4 linked regions of the Saccharomyces cerevisiae S288C genome follow. The gene in region 1 interacts genetically with each later gene. Each region holds a gene or a part of one and is shown in the gene's direction. Other genes may lie near its edges. The genes, in order: KIN82, DSE1, PIR5 and WHI2.

Region 1 (4,672 bases):
CATTATCCTCTAGTTGGCATGACATTACTTTCCCCGAACTTAGAGAAACTTCAAACGTTATGGTGTCGGGATAAAATTTGATTAATTCACAACCTCTGCAATCAAGGCTTAAAGGAATGAAAGAATCTTCTTTGACCTTCGATAAACCATGCTTCTTCCGCACATCTTTTATCTTGGCCCATTTGTCGTCACTCTGATCAGTTAAATATTCATCCTCAAAAGCGCACAGGTTAACTGACAATTCTTTTGAACAAAATTTACACTTCATCAAGAAAGATGCGGTACCTTTTGATGCCGGCATAGCATATTCTTCAAATGTATTGATGATGACTTTAGAATCGTGTAATTCTCTACAACTGGTACATTGTAGATCGAAGGCAAATTCTGCCCTTGATTCGTTTGTATTCTCAATTGAAACCTTGGTCACGTTTTCTGATAATGTTGCTTTCAGAACCAAAAATAACGGCATTATCGTACACAACCTGGTTTTCTTTATTGGTTAAGTTGTCTTTATTCAAAATTTTTCATTACTTCTTATAAACAGCTTCTTGACGCTTGTAATTTCATAAGTTTTTGATACAAGCAATGGAAACAAAATTAAGAAAATGTAGGCAACGAAGAACTAAATTTGAAAAAAAAAAAAAAAAAAATTTACTGCCAAGATCATCTAAATTATCTTATAGTAGCAAAGCTTGAGCATAAAAGGATCAATCTTTTAGTTTTTTATGGCAAAGTACATTTGCAGTAAGTAATTAGTGATGAGATAAACAAAGAATAATAATCCAATTCGAAATCAAAAATTCAAACAACAAAAAACATAATTTCACATATATATCTAATTCATTCACGAAAAACACGTCAGTTCCTTCTGTCTGTTGTAAATAGGATGCATCCGCAGTGAATCATGGAAATATTTCAAAACTTTCAGCCCAATCATTTTATTTGGTCAATGAAGCCATAAACGCTCCGTAATTCTAAGATTAAAAAAAATTCATAAAAATAAGGACCAATATAAATATATATATTTAATGTGCTAGTGACAATCCTAGTGATAAAATTGCAAATTATACTACAATTGGTCATGGTGAAGCCTAAACACACCATTACGTCTTCACAGTGTTATTCATTTTATTTTCAAAGGTATGCTACTACTAATGCACCAGTGTATACCATGATACGGTGAAAAGGGCATGTAATATTGCGTTAATTTGTCGATAACCTTTCTTTACGTTTAAATTTTTTTTTTATAACTGGCGACACTAAACTTCTCGATAAAATACAACATAAAAAGCAGTACCTAGCTAAGCGAACAACAGATAATAAATAGCTAAACATCTAGGTTAATAGCCAATTAGCAATACATTTAAGGATTGATAGTGTGGTATTTACAAGGTAATAGCCCGCTAGGCTATAAGGAAACTACTCTAAATTCACCTTCCATATATGTGACTGCCAAGAAAATATTACTAGTTATCAAGCTTTTTTTGTGTGCATTCAACTTCAACGAATCCTTCGTCATCAATGAAACAAAAGAACAAGCCAGAACTGAAAAAAAAAAATCAAAACCACTAAGAATGTCACATCCTTCCAAAACTCCTGCTGGCTCTTCAACTCTTCAAAGAATATCAAGATAAATATCATTATCTCCAGTGTGGCCGACCCATGCATGAGTGCGAGGAGCATTAAGTTGGATCCTGGGAAAACATGTCAAGGACATTCAATAAAGTACTTTTCATACTACAACAGACGCTAGAAGAACTAGAATGTAACCGTGAACTGCCTCTCAAACACATAATTATGATAGCGCCGTCTTCGGCATCCTTTTTCGGAAATATACTTTCCTTTTTCCCTCTTTCAGCTATATTGTTCAAGGAGTAACATAAGACATAATAACCCCAGTTTTTTTAGAGAAAGTTCTTCTTCTTTAATTATAGTATGTTTGAAACGTACAAGAATTCATTGAGTGCCCTAAGGATTACTGCAAACAAGGTTCAACAGTGTTGGTACACATGACTCAGCAAGAATACCGTTCCCCCTCACAACGCTTATCCAAGGGGAGGAGCATGTCGCTACCCAAAATATTTGCTCGTAATTTGAGATCTCTGCAAAACAATGCACCTCCTGGCAAAAACATCAATGTCAATTGTTTGAACGTCAATTCTTGTTCGTTGTCCGCAAGCCCAAGCTCACAAATTAATATGGCTTGTAATGGAAACAAGCAAGATCTTCCCATACCGTTTCCCCTGCATGTAGAATGCAACGATAGCTGGTCAAGCTCCAAACTTAACAAGTTCAAATCAATGTTTAATCATAACAGATCAAAGAGCAGTGGTACTACAGATGCGTCAACTTCAGAAAAAGGTACGCATAAGCGTGAACCCCGGTCGACGATACATACAGAGCTGTTACAAAGTTCCATTATCGGTGAGCCAAATGTCCATAGTACTACAAGTAGCACACTTATACCCAATGAGGCGATATGCTCCACACCTAATGAGATCTCAGGTAGCTCTTCTCCGGACGCGGAGTTATTTACCTTTGACATGCCCACAGACCCGTCATCCTTCCACACTCCTAGCTCCCCAAGTTATATAGCAAAGGACAGTAGAAACCTGAGTAATGGATCTTTGAATGATATTAACGAAAATGAAGAGCTCCAAAATTTCCATAGAAAAATCAGCGAAAATGGCAGTGCCTCCCCCCTGGCTAACTTGTCATTATCCAATTCACCAATTGATTCCCCAAGGAAAAATAGCGAAACCAGAAAGGATCAAATACCTATGAACATAACACCACGTTTAAGGAGGGCCGCTTCCGAACCGTTCAATACGGCAAAGGATGGGTTAATGCGGGAAGATTACATTGCCTTGAAACAACCTCCAAGCTTGGGAGATATTGTAGAACCGAGGAGATCTCGTCGTTTAAGAACCAAGTCATTCGGTAACAAGTTCCAAGACATTACTGTCGAACCTCAATCCTTCGAAAAAATTAGACTACTTGGCCAAGGTGACGTAGGTAAAGTGTATTTAGTGAGGGAACGCGATACCAACCAGATATTCGCCCTGAAAGTTTTGAATAAACATGAGATGATCAAGAGGAAGAAAATTAAACGAGTACTCACTGAACAGGAAATTCTCGCGACAAGTGATCATCCATTTATTGTGACACTGTATCATTCCTTTCAAACCAAAGACTATTTGTATCTCTGTATGGAATACTGCATGGGAGGGGAATTCTTTAGAGCCTTACAAACAAGAAAAAGTAAATGCATTGCAGAAGAAGATGCGAAGTTTTACGCCAGTGAAGTAGTAGCAGCTTTGGAATATTTACACCTACTGGGCTTCATATACAGAGATTTGAAACCCGAAAACATATTACTGCATCAATCTGGTCATGTCATGCTTTCTGACTTTGATTTATCCATCCAAGCAACGGGATCAAAAAAACCCACCATGAAAGACTCTACGTATTTAGATACAAAAATTTGTTCAGATGGATTCAGAACTAATTCCTTTGTTGGTACTGAAGAGTATTTAGCTCCAGAAGTAATCAGAGGGAATGGCCACACTGCAGCAGTAGACTGGTGGACTTTAGGAATATTGATTTACGAGATGCTATTTGGCTGTACTCCATTTAAAGGAGATAATTCAAATGAAACATTCTCTAACATTTTAACCAAGGACGTCAAATTTCCACATGATAAGGAAGTTTCGAAGAATTGTAAAGACCTGATAAAGAAACTACTAAACAAAAACGAGGCAAAAAGGCTTGGTTCCAAATCAGGAGCTGCAGACATAAAGAGACATCCCTTCTTCAAAAAAGTTCAGTGGTCGTTCTTAAGAAACCAAGACCCCCCTCTAATACCTGCATTAAATGATAACGGCTGCGAACTTCCTTTTATATTGTCTTGCAATAAACACCCGAAAAGGAACTCAGTGAGTGAACAGGAAACCAAAATGTTCTGTGAGAAAGTTGCAAACGATGATGAAATTGATGAGGCTGATCCATTCCATGATTTTAATTCTATGAGTTTAACGAAGAAAGATCACAATATCTTAACCTACTCTGAAAATTATACCTACGGAAAAATTCTATACAAAGCAACTTGTACAAGGCCAAGGCATAACAGCTCACATAGAAGTTTCTTTAAAGACATCATACCTGAACTATAACATGTTTACAGAAAGATAAACCCATGGCCAAATTTCTGTATTGTTTCTCTCAATTTATCTTATGATAAAAATGTAAAAAATTATTTAAAAGTAAACAAATAAACAAAGGAACAATTCAAAAACGAGAAAGTGAATGAAAAATATAATATCATTTATTGTCTGATAATGCTGCATTTAGAACATACGTACCATCCGCATCAGTGGATATCCAATGATAGTAATTTCGCGAGTTTATCCGTTGCTGTTATATTATCACTTTTTAATATTCTTTTCAAAGAGCTGAATAATTTCAACGCGTCTTCGTTAATGGATTCCTTCCGCAATTCTTCTGAAATACTGAATGCCCGATTTATAATATCTTTGTCCAGGCGTGCCAATTTCGCCACATTCATCCCATAACTATTATAAGTCAATCCCTTTTTTAACTTATATAGAAAAATTACACTCATCCAGTCCTCGCCAGTTTTTTGTTCTTCCACGTAATCCATATGATAATTCCT
Region 2 (4,257 bases), on another chromosome or scaffold:
TGTTACAGAGGAATTATCTGATGATCCACCAGGTAAAGTTCTTCCCCTATGCTGCCTTCTCTCTAACTCAGTATTTGCATTTAATTGGTTGCCACGTTCGGCTTCTGTTTGATCGAGCGTTGGACGTTTCCAAGTGGTAGTCCTTGTGTTATGATCGACGTAATATGTACGACCAAAGTTATCGGTCCTTCTCTCCCAACCAGGGGGTAAACGACCATACTGGTCTTCAAACGAAGAGTATTGTCTGGTAGCACTGGATGTGGAATTGGTGGAACGGTGACTGGTTGTTGCCGTATTAGTAGCAGCTGTTGTACCGCTTTGAAGAGTTGATTCTACTGCTTGCGCGGTGCCTCTGGAAGGATGAGACGTTGAATGATTACGGGTGGAGGAAGTAGAATGACCATTTGTTCGAGTAGTTGAACTTGTATTCGTACTAGAAGATGCAGTATGGCCAGAAGGAGCTTGTGAATGCGGACTTGACGAAGGTAGTTTTGATAAAACAACAATCAACCTACCGCTGACGGCCATTCCGTCATTAGATTTTTTTAAATCACGAGTAATAGTTTCTTCGCGAGGTCTACCACTCGATGTAGCAGTATCTTCATCCAAATGGCCCAAAACATCACCCACGCGGACGTTAACCACGCCAAGAAACCCTTGATCCTTCTTTTTAAATTTCTTTTGATCAAAGACTTGGATGGTTAAAATAGAATTTTCATTGATATCGTCGAATTTGAAAGTCTCATTCCAGTAGGGATTTAACGTTTTCTTCGCTGCGGATGTAGATTTGGTTTGGTAACCATCAATAGTCAGAACAGCAAACGGATCCGGGGAACGGAATACGTCCCTCTTATATAATGACTCTGCAGCCACTAACTTGACGGATATGGATGAAGGCATTTTTTTTCTTTTTTCTTTCCTTTCTGTTACTTTAAATATAATACCCAAGCTAACAAAGAAAAGGGAATAAGAAAAGGGGAAAATAGTTTTTGGTAAATTTATCGAACTAAAAACGCACTAAGAAAAAGCTGTGGCTTATGAAAGTGAAAGTCGAATAACACTATATTCGGTAGTTCCAACTAAAAGGTACTTACACACAAAAACAAGCAATTATTTCCTGCTGTTTTATTTGCTACGCACTCACTCTTCTAAAGAAGGACTGAACTGAAATTTTGACTCACTTGCAAAATGTGCTTCACGAATTATAGTAACAAGTCCAAAACTGTGGAAAAAACTGACAGCGCTTATTATCTTATAATCGTTTTTGTTTAACGAAAAAGTCGACTCTTGTAGCTCTAACGAAGAAAATGGAAAACAGCCTCAAAACACAACAAAGTCCTTTTATCAATTAGCAGATGCGATACTCGAGTACCCTAAAAATGGTTAAGCGTATGTCTTTTAATTGTCGAGATAGAAGCCCCCTCCCCCGCCAGCAAAAAATATTACCTTTCACCATGAAGATCACTGCAATTTGGTCTTTACCAAAAATTTCCACTAAATTTTTGTTTTTTCCCCTTTCTCGTATAATGTCATTATGTACGTAAGATCACATGATCGTATACTGTCACGTGACTGTGCGGCTGGTCTGCGCCAGCAATTTTTTTTTTCTGCTCTCAAATGTAAACAAACCAGCAGTCTGTTTTCTAAACAAATAAACATTAAAAGGTAAACAATACCAAATAATAATAGCAGCGTCAAAGCTACATTCTCAGTTCTCAAAGCTATTGTGTTGATTTCTATGTATGATTCAATGCCGGCATGATGTTAAATTTGCTGGTTTACTGAATAAGGCTTGGTTCATAACCAATTTGTAGTCATGACGACATAGCTGGGTGGGTGCTTACTGGTTTACATAAATAAGTGCGTAAACGTTTTACAATATATAAAAAGGTAGAAATATCTCTCCCAAGCTTTCCTCAAACTATCTTTTGGCTTCTTCTTCTTGCATGACTTCCAAATTTTAATCTGTGTTTGCTAAAAAATTTGATTGTAGGTGTGATAGTGAGAGTGACACGTATTAATATTATGCAAGATACCAAATACTACGAACCAACAAATATTTTTCGTCAGCCTGCTATTAATATAAAGAAGAGATCAGATAAAAAGAGGATTTTACAATCGATGATGACTTTATCCACATACAAAAAAACGTGGCAAAACAATACTTCGAAAATGAATTCACCGATTTTGCGAAAAGCATCAGACAACTTCAATGACTATTATACAACTAAAAAATTAAAATCAGATTATTGGAAACTGTACGGTGTTGATGAAAGTGAGTTATCCATACCTTCAGACATGTCCATTGTGGATAATATACTTCTAGTATCTACAATGAACGAGAAAGACAACTTGAAACTTTTTGAAATTTCCGCTGAGAAAAAGCTGAAGGAACTACAGACGATTACTGTTCCCGGTAAACCCATTACTTGTATCTGCTTATTGCCCATGGTAGATTTTCCGCCACAGATTTTCCCCAGCTCTCAAATAAATCCTAACCACAACCAATTAATATTGACAGGTCATCAAGACGGTATAGTCAATCTGATAGCAACTTCAACATATAAGGGATGTGCTAAAATAATAAAAAGGTTTAACCACAACAAGTTTCTAAAATCTACCGTATCAACGTCGATTCCGATTCTGGAAATAACGCCAAAAACAGCACCTATTTTGAAGGTTTCGCCATGGAACAAGACCGGTTTTGTTTCCCTTCTAAATGACTCCCTCTTTATATATGACTTGAAATCAAATCTTGATTGCATAAAAACACCTATTTTTTTGCAATCATATCCAGGTATAAATTCTTTTGCCGTTAATGAATTCCATGATCCCTTCTTACTGGCCTTAGTTGGCTCAAAATTTGGACCAAATGGCATCTCGCTGCTTGATTTGAGAACAAATCTCTATATTCCAGATATTTTAGATAATAGCATATCTGCAGGATGTGGAAAAGACCATTTGCAAAGAAAGAACACAAGTTTGGATTGCGTATGGATAAGTAATCATCACGTTGCACAGAGCTTGAACGATAAAATTCAAATTTGGGACATTCAATCCTGCGACGGTAAACCAGTTTGTGAATTATATGCTAAGAAAGGATACATTGAAAGTCTAAAATTTAACGAAAACACAGGCGCGTTATATAGCAGTGATGACCAAGGCTTTGTCATTTGTTGGGATTTACAAAACCTACAAAACATGAAATATGGTGAGTTAGTCCATGGATTTAACTCAATTAGCCTAGATAGTGAAAGTGAACTACTATTAACCAAGCAAGTCTTCCAATGTGGAAACATTATTGTGAGTGGTATGAGTGATAAAAATATTTGCTTGAAGAGCAATGACACTAAGGCCAATGGAAAAGGATGTGGATTTTTATTCCTTGATATGGCAAACGATGGAAGTTTAGTAACTCTTGACAATTTTTGTGAACTGGGATTACATCAAATTTGTCAAGTTCAATTCAATGTCGATACCGGTAAAATAATCGATGGTAATGGTACTGGGAAGAGTGGAATATCTGATTCTTCTATGTTATCATTATCCAATGAGAGTGACCATAGTATGACAGAAACATCTGATGATATGTTCTCAAATTCTGGTAATTGGGATTGTTCTTCAGCAAATACTGTTAGCGAAGGTAGATTGAATGATGACCAAGAGGATATCGTCTTCACAAAGAGGATGTATTCTGTAAATGATGTGCATTTAAGTGGATCTACTATTGATACTACTGTTGTCTAGTTTCCTTGAGTGCTTTCAAATAAAAACAAATAACATATCAATGAATCAAAGTAACATTTCTTTGAAGATAATTTCTTTGTCTGTCACTCAGAATGCCCTTTATTACTAACGACCATCCTCCTTGATGAAGGTGAAAATCAATAAAATTCAAATTGTGACCCAAGTCCAGTCAGTGGATCCTTCTGGTAACACAAGTATTCGGTTTTTTTTTTTTCTCCATGATCTGTATGTTTTACTAAGCTTTGAATTTTTCTTACACAATGTATATATATATATATGTGTGTGTATATCAAAACAGCGCGCGTAATTGTATGTAGCATTTAGAATCAAGTTCAATGCCGAAATTTGTTATGGTTGCCTACGTTTTTTTGGCTTCTTAATTTAATATCAAAATCTTCACGATATGCATTCATTCTCAAGTTTGTAATTGTGCATTTTTTTATATATAGTCCCGCTCTCAAGTGAATTAGAAAAGTAAAGTATACACGCAAAACAAGGGCGTAAATAAAA
Region 3 (3,262 bases), on another chromosome or scaffold:
AGGCTCAGATGGAGCATAGGCGGCCAATGTAGTAGCGGCCAAAGCAGAGGCAACCAAAGTCTTTTTGTATTGCATTATATTATTATTATTGTACTAGGGTTAGAAAAGGAATATGAGTTTCTTATTGATATTTTTTTGAGCTTTGAGGTAAAAGGAAGGACATAATCGAAATTGATTGTCGTTAGACTTCAAGTGTTCCTTTTATATCTCGAGGATTCCTACCATTCAAGCTAATAAATTTTTCACCAACCATTCCTTTTTTAGGATCTTTCTTATTTTGACCAAAATCTAAATTTAGCTCAAAATGTGGTGTTCCGCTTGAGAAAACACTCATTTGTACTATTAGTTTTCCTGATCTGGTAAAGAAATGAAAAATTAGGCTGAGTTGGCGACTTATCACTACAGACGGAAAGCCATTAATGAGCTTTTTTGTCTTTAATAATTTCCGAAATAGGAAATAGTAAGATCACTTAATATGAATAACTCCCAAGAATTACCATTTACGGCCCCTTCCAATAGAGGTGGGAAATGTGTATGTGCATTGTGAGGGTCGCCTAATTGGGCAGAAGGGGGGAGAAATGAGCGTGGCAAAGCAGTGAGATTGACTCGTTTTGCGGCCAGCAACGTGTTGGACATGGCGGACCTGCCTGCATTAATTATAGCACAAAGCCTATCATTCATCGCATCCTTGTGCAAGTTCTAAGTTCACCTCCATATGGATTAGCGGCCAGGATAATGGAAAAAATTTACCATACTTTTTTTTGCAGAATAGATCAACAGTTTGGTGCATTTGTTCCTTCTTGTTTTTTTTTTGCTTGTTTTTACAATTTTTACTGTTTTACTATGAACTGATGGCTGGTATAGTGACAGAGTTTCTACTTTTTTGCTACTTAGTAGACTACTATACTAACTAGGACATATGTTGTTCGTAACGGTAAATGCACTTAAAGTATTTTACTGTTTTTAATTGGATTTGCTTGTTGTAGTAATTTTTGGACTGATTTCGGTCAATCGCTATTTTAATTTTTACTGTTCCTTGCATCTTTTACTAATCCGAAATTAGCTCAGCTCAAATTTGTAGTTTACTAAAGTACGCTTTTCCTAAAAGACGAAAACACAAATATAGTGAAGACATTATCCGACTTTTTTGCCAAAAAGGGACAAAGCACGAAATTAAGTAAAACTGTGGTAAAAACTACAGAGGAACGTCGCATTGGCTAGCAAGGATCTATTGTTACTCTATCAAAACCCCTTTGCCAAGCTCACATATCCTATTTGCCGTTCCTGAAGGCATCCAACTAGGCTTGATATCATCTTACTTATATAGTGGGCTTCTGCTCCTTAACCTGATCAATTTCACCTCTAATTTTGTAGGATTCCTGAGAAAATACAGAAATTCTAACGTTCCTCTGATATATTACGAGTGAATCATTGGGTATATATAAGAGAAGTGGAGTAACAAAAGCTGTAGAAAGTAAGTTACACAGAGTCACAAAAGAATATCGACTTTTTGTGCAAGAAAATTCGACTGTTTTGACTCACAAAATTATTCTTTTTGCGAAAGAGTGGGGAAACGAAAACAGTTAAAAGAGTAAAATAACTTGTATACATATACTTATCTTCTTGTTTCGAAATTTCTGTTTAGTCTCGATTTTTTAATTCTATACAACTTACTGAAGAAGTGAACACCGCCCCAATATGCATTACAAGAAAGCATTTCTAGCATCTCTATTAAGTAGTATTGCGCTAACTGCGTACGCTCCACCTGAACCCTGGGCAACTTTAACTCCAAGCTCTAAAATGGATGGTGGCACAACAGAGTACCGGACCTCATTCGGTCTCGCTGTTATACCTTTCACCGTTACTGAAAGTAAGGTCAAAAGAAACGTCATTTCACAAATTAATGACGGTCAAGTGCAAGTAACGACACAAAAATTACCTCATCCAGTTTCGCAAATTGGAGACGGCCAAATACAAGTTACAACGCAGAAGGTGCCTCCAGTAGTGTCACATATTGTGTCACAAATAGGCGATGGTCAATTACAAATAACTACAGCTAAAAATGTTGTCACAAAGTCCACAATTGCTGTTCCAAGTAAAACTGTAACTGCGACAGCAACTTCAACCGCAACTGCTGTTTCTCAGATTCATGATGGTCAAGTGCAAGTTACTATTTCTTCAGCCAGTAGTAGTTCTGTGCTTTCCAAGAGTAAGTTAGAGCCAACAAAGAAACCAAATAATGAAAAAGTGATCAAGGTGCAAGCCTGTAAAAGTTCTGGCACCTTGGCAATAACGTTACAAGGAGGTGTTCTTATTGACTCCAGTGGTAGAATTGGATCGATAGTAGCAAACAGACAGTTCCAATTTGATGGTCCACCTCCACAGGCGGGCGCTATTTACGCTGGCGGCTGGTCGATAACGAAGCATGGCACTTTAGCTATTGGTGATAATGACGTGTTTTACCAATGTCTGTCGGGCACTTTCTATAACCTTTACGATCAGTCTATCGGGGGCCAGTGCAATCCCGTTCATTTACAAACAGTTGGTCTCGTCGATTGTTGAATCACCAACATTATAATCTTGCAGGTCTTGATTGTACTTCAAAAATATAACTAAAATAATAGTATAAAAGTAAGTCTGTCTTACTATGTATGGGGCGCGTTATAATTTTACGTATTCACAAACGAGTTTTCATTTACTTCATCGTTTTTATTTTCGGAGATGTTGCCTTCTGCATTACTCAAAGCGCACTCCAGCTTTTTCCAGCTGTTTCATCCTAAGTTTAAGTGCCATATAAATCAACGGTGGGAACCCTAAAACACTAACGACACTTCCCTTATAAAGAATGGATTTTTTGCCTAAGGTGGAATTGCCTATTAGGCTCGAAAGTTGAATGAGAAACCCCCAAACAATCGAAAATTGAGAGACATCACTGTACGTCAAAGAATGAAGTACTTTATGGAGGTCACTCTTTTGTAAGTCAAGCTCTTTCTCTTGATAGGTATCAAGTGCTGGCTTGAATATTCTATTGGGAGCGTCATGGACTATATTTACAATGTCGTCTTCTGCGATGGCATGGGGATCTTCTTGCTCTTTGGACTTATTCAAGCTATTTGATTCTAGATATAGGCATGCCAGACCTGTCCCATACAGTGTTGTCACTAAAAGACTAGTGTACAAATTACCCTTCGAAAATAAAGGTTTTGAGCCAAGATTGGGCGATGTGCCTGAAAACTTGGTGAATTGTGAGTTGTGACGTAAC
Region 4 (4,109 bases), on another chromosome or scaffold:
AACTCAATTAGAACAAGACGAATTATTGGCACGGCAATTAGATGAGCAATTCAACAGCTCACATTCCCGTCGTCGTAATCGTGATCGCGCAACTAGAAGCATGCATGAACAGCGCAGAAGACGTCATAATCCGAACGAAAGGGAGCAACATCACGAAGACAGTGAGGAAGAAGATTCGTGGTCGCAATTTGTAGAAAAGGACCTGCCAGAGCTTACGGACAGAGCCGGTCGGTCATTACAGGACACAGCAAACAAAGTTAGTAACTGGATAAGTGATGCTTACCGGAGAAACTTTGCGTCAGGTAATGAGCAAAACGACAACCAACATGGTCACCAAGATCAGCAAGAATGGGAGCCAGAGATTGTGGATTTGTCACAAGGCGGGAAAAATTCAAGACCCCAGCAACCTGAGAGAAGAAGATTCAATTCGTTTGGCGTTCAAGTCGGTGATGACTCTTTAGAAAGCCACGGAATCACACTACACAACGAAGATGGATTTGAAGATGATGAAGATGTGCCACCTCAGTTACCAACGAGAACAAAATCTGGTGAGTCGACTGGAAAAGTAGTGGCAGAGACAACCTACATTGATACTCCAGATACAGAAACGAAGAAGAAATGGCAGCCGCTACCACCGGAACCCCTGGATACTACACCAACTAAAGTAAACGCTGTTTCTAGAAATAAGAAAAATCCGGATGAGGATGAATTCTTAATCAATAGTGACGACGAGATGTAAAGCTGATATCTACGTACATGTGTATACGTGCCAATATTTGGACGCATCTTATTTTACGCGCTTGTGAAGAACTCACTACCTTCTTGAAGGAAGTAAGAAAAAATTTTCAGAATTGTTGATAGTCGTATATCTTCCATTATAACTATTGTTAGCTATTAATTCAGATAATGTAGATAAGATTGAAAACATAAATTCATCATAAAAAAGAATAGGTCTTTTACGGCACCCGTTCAGACACTTTGACACTTCAAAGTATATGCATCAGCACACTTCTGACCATTCTACGTATTGTAACAGCAACATGAGTTCTTTAAAACTCCAATTGACATTTTCGTAATGTGTTTTGCATATCATCTAAATTTCAATGACAGATTTAAAAAGTCAAGTAATTAAAAATTTTCATAAGCGTGCTTTTTTATAGTGCGAAGAACGGCAAAGGCAACCTTAAGAAAAAAAAATGATAGGTTACGTGCTATATCCGGAAAATAAAGAAAGATGAGTAAGAGTTAAAGAAAGAATTCAACCAACCTGATGGGTGTATGAAAATCCCGATTTTATATCGACAGCGCTAGCATGCATGAACAGTGTTTTGACGGTCAAGAAAAAACATAACCTCTGCATAATGTACTTACTTATCAAAACGTTGCAAATCTTGTATGTAAGAGGTGTTTGGGTGTTTTTTCCAAACGACCCGAAGGAGGGCAATTCAAAATAAAAAAAGCAAATTTTATCAGGAAGAGAAGATTTTAGTCAGAACGGGCCATGTTCAATGGCCAATTTCTTATGCTCTAGAGTAATAATTACTAAGGAGGAAAGTAAGACAAAAAACGGTCTATCGTTGTTTTAAGTTTACAGCATAGGCATAGTGATAGAGTGTGAGAGAGTCTCTAACTCGGCGTCAGTTTAGAGTCATTTTTTTCTTTTCTCCCCCCAAAGGTCATAAGAAGATAAGGATCCAAATTTAGAAGACAAAAAAAGTTTTGTTAGAACGTTTATCCCATTAAAAATAAGGGAAAAGAGAAACAACGTTATTTAGTGATTTTTTTAATTGAGAAGCATTTTCTCCAGTGATAATTTAATTGTTTTTTTATTCGGAAAAGAACAGAAAGCGCAAGAAGACAACTCCTTCACACTTAGGCTATTAATTTTCCCGCCTCCCCATTAATTGATAAAGATAAAGGTTGTCTGAGCTTACACTTATTATAAACAATGGACGATATAATCACGCAAGTTTCTCCAGATAATGCAGAGTCCGCTCCGATTCTACAAGAACAGCAACAGCAACAGAACTCACAGTACGAAGGTAACGAGGAGGATTATGGTGATTCATTGATTCATTTGAATATTCAAGAAAACCATTATTTCATTACGAGGGACCAGTTGATGTCTCTACCTGAATCCCTATTACTGTGTTTATTTCCCTCAGGTGTTTTTTTGGACCGTTGTGGTCAGGTCATTACTAATTTGACCAGAGACGATGAGGTCTACATTGTTAATTTCCCTCCTGATTGTTTTGAGTACATCATGGAGATATATACAAAAGCGCATGATGATTTGTATAATCATCCTGTGGAGAAATTTTTTGACAGACCATCAAGTAGCTTTGTTTCGAATGCAAAGGGATTTTTTGGACTGAGTAGCAATAATTCAATTTCGAGCAACAATGAGCAGGATATTTTACATCAAAAGCCCGCTATTATTGTTTTGAGAGAAGACTTGGATTATTATTGTGTACCTCAGGAGGAATTTCAGTTTGATTCCACTAATGAAGAAAATAATGAGGATTTATTGCGACATTTTATGGCTCAAGTGAAAATGGCTGCTGGCAGTTATTTAACTTCAAAAACATCGATTTTCCAAGGTTTGTATTCTTCGAATAGACTAAAGCAACAACAGCAACAACAGAAAATTGAAAAGGGGTCCAATTCTTCTTCAAATACTAAATCTACTTCGAAAAAATTGGGACCTGCTGAACAACATTTAATGGATATGTTGTGCTCCTCCGGATTCACCAAGGAAACTTGTTGGGGTAACAGAACTCAAGAAACTGGCAAAACGGTTATAAGTTCACTGTCTCTTTGCCGATTGGCTAACGAGACAACTGAAGGATTTAGGCAAAAATTTAACGAGGCTAAGGCTAAGTGGGAGGCAGAGCACAAACCTTCTCAAGACAACTTCATCACCCCAATGCAATCTAACATATCGATTAACTCTTTATCTGCAAGTAAATCTAACAGTACCATTTCTACAGCAAGGAATTTAACAAGCGGAAGTACAGCACCTGCTACAGCACGTGATAAGAGAAAATCAAGGCTGTCGAAACTAGCAGATAACGTTCGTTCGCACTCTTCCTCGAGACATAGTTCGCAGACCAGAAGTAAACCTCCGGAGTTGCCCAAATTGTATGATCTAGTGCCAAAACCTAATATCAACGCTAAGCTACTATTATTTTGGAGAAAACCTGCTCGTAAATGTTGGTGGGGTGAAGAAGACATAGAGCTAGAAGTGGAAGTCTTCGGCTCTTGGAAAGATGAATCAAAGAAAATCATTGAATTGATCTTGCCAACAAACGTTGATCCTGAAGCAGAACTACATAAAATCATTGTACCCGTCCGATTACATATTCGTAGAGTTTGGACTTTAGAGTTGAGCGTTATTGGGGTGCAGTGAGTGTATATAATATATTAGAGAAAGAAATGGAAAGAGATCGGGCCAAAGACACAATATGTAACAGTATGGTTTCTTGGTATCCCCTCTTTCTATTCCTCCCTTGTTACGAAATGATGTATATTTGTATCTCTATAACAAAATTATATGAACTGTCTCAAAGCACATGAAGAAGGAAAAAAGGTGGCGTCGAAGACTGCTAGATATTTCTCTTCGTATCTTCCCATCCCCTTCTGCAAATAACGGTTTTTCCATTGTCTATTTCAAAGTTACCCGCATAATAAAGTCGTACATTGTTCGAAAAATATCACTCAAAAGCAGCATTGATCCGGTATAAAACAATAGAAATTTTTTTTTTTTTTTATTGTTATAATTATTCTGACTCACGTCTGGATTTCGTTAGTTCGTCATTTTTTCTTAATTTCAGTAAACTGTGATCACGAGTCTGCAACATCATTATACACCGTATATCTGTATTATTAAGAATCAGGGTCTCCTTTTAATTTGCTGTTGAAAAACATCTTAAGGGAGTGTGATTGTCTGTTGATGTATACTAGTCTGGTAAAGCTAAATATTCTTATAAAAAACTTTTGGTAACCCATTATTACAGGAAACAAGATCCATTTATCAGATAAAAATTATAAAACATTAAGGAATCAGGACCTTTTTTTCGACAATCATGATAGAGGCGTTGGAAATAGTT

What was found.
Region 2: mutations in KIN82 (region 1) and DSE1 together harm fitness more than expected from each alone (negative genetic interaction), as found in Saccharomyces cerevisiae (3 studies listed by BioGRID).
Region 3: mutations in KIN82 (region 1) and PIR5 together harm fitness more than expected from each alone (negative genetic interaction), as found in Saccharomyces cerevisiae (3 studies listed by BioGRID).
Region 4: mutations in KIN82 (region 1) and WHI2 together harm fitness more than expected from each alone (negative genetic interaction), as found in Saccharomyces cerevisiae (3 studies listed by BioGRID).

What each region holds. Positions count from the first base shown.
Region 1 is NC_001135.5:272,395-277,066, forward strand, and holds KIN82 (putative serine/threonine protein kinase KIN82), read left to right. Parts: upstream 1-2,009; coding exon 2,010-4,172; downstream 4,173-4,672. Other genes in the region: YCR090C (uncharacterized protein), read right to left, coding at 1-469; mismatch repair protein MSH3, read right to left, coding at 4,370-4,672. UniProt on the Saccharomyces cerevisiae protein: Flippase activator that phosphorylates DFN1 and DFN2 and which is involved in the generation of phospholipid asymmetry in membranes by the inward translocation of phospholipids.
Region 2 is NC_001137.3:406,832-411,088, reverse strand, and holds DSE1 (Dse1p), read left to right. Parts: upstream 1-2,025; coding exon 2,026-3,747; downstream 3,748-4,257. Other genes in the region: RSP5 (NEDD4 family E3 ubiquitin-protein ligase), read right to left, coding at 1-900. UniProt on the Saccharomyces cerevisiae protein: Involved in cell wall metabolism and required for the separation of the mother and daughter cells.
Region 3 is NC_001142.9:117,262-120,523, reverse strand, and holds PIR5 (beta-1,3-glucan linked protein), read left to right. Parts: upstream 1-1,698; coding exon 1,699-2,562; downstream 2,563-3,262. Other genes in the region: heat shock protein HSP150, read right to left, coding at 1-75; FMP33 (Fmp33p), read right to left, coding at 2,737-3,262.
Region 4 is NC_001147.6:408,922-413,030, forward strand, and holds WHI2 (Whi2p), read left to right. Parts: upstream 1-1,948; coding exon 1,949-3,409; downstream 3,410-4,109. Other genes in the region: ubiquitin-binding protein CUE5, read left to right, coding at 1-739; IRC23 (Irc23p), read left to right, coding at 4,086-4,109. UniProt on the Saccharomyces cerevisiae protein: Plays a role in the coordination of growth and proliferation. Required for entry into G0 phase under conditions of carbon limitation.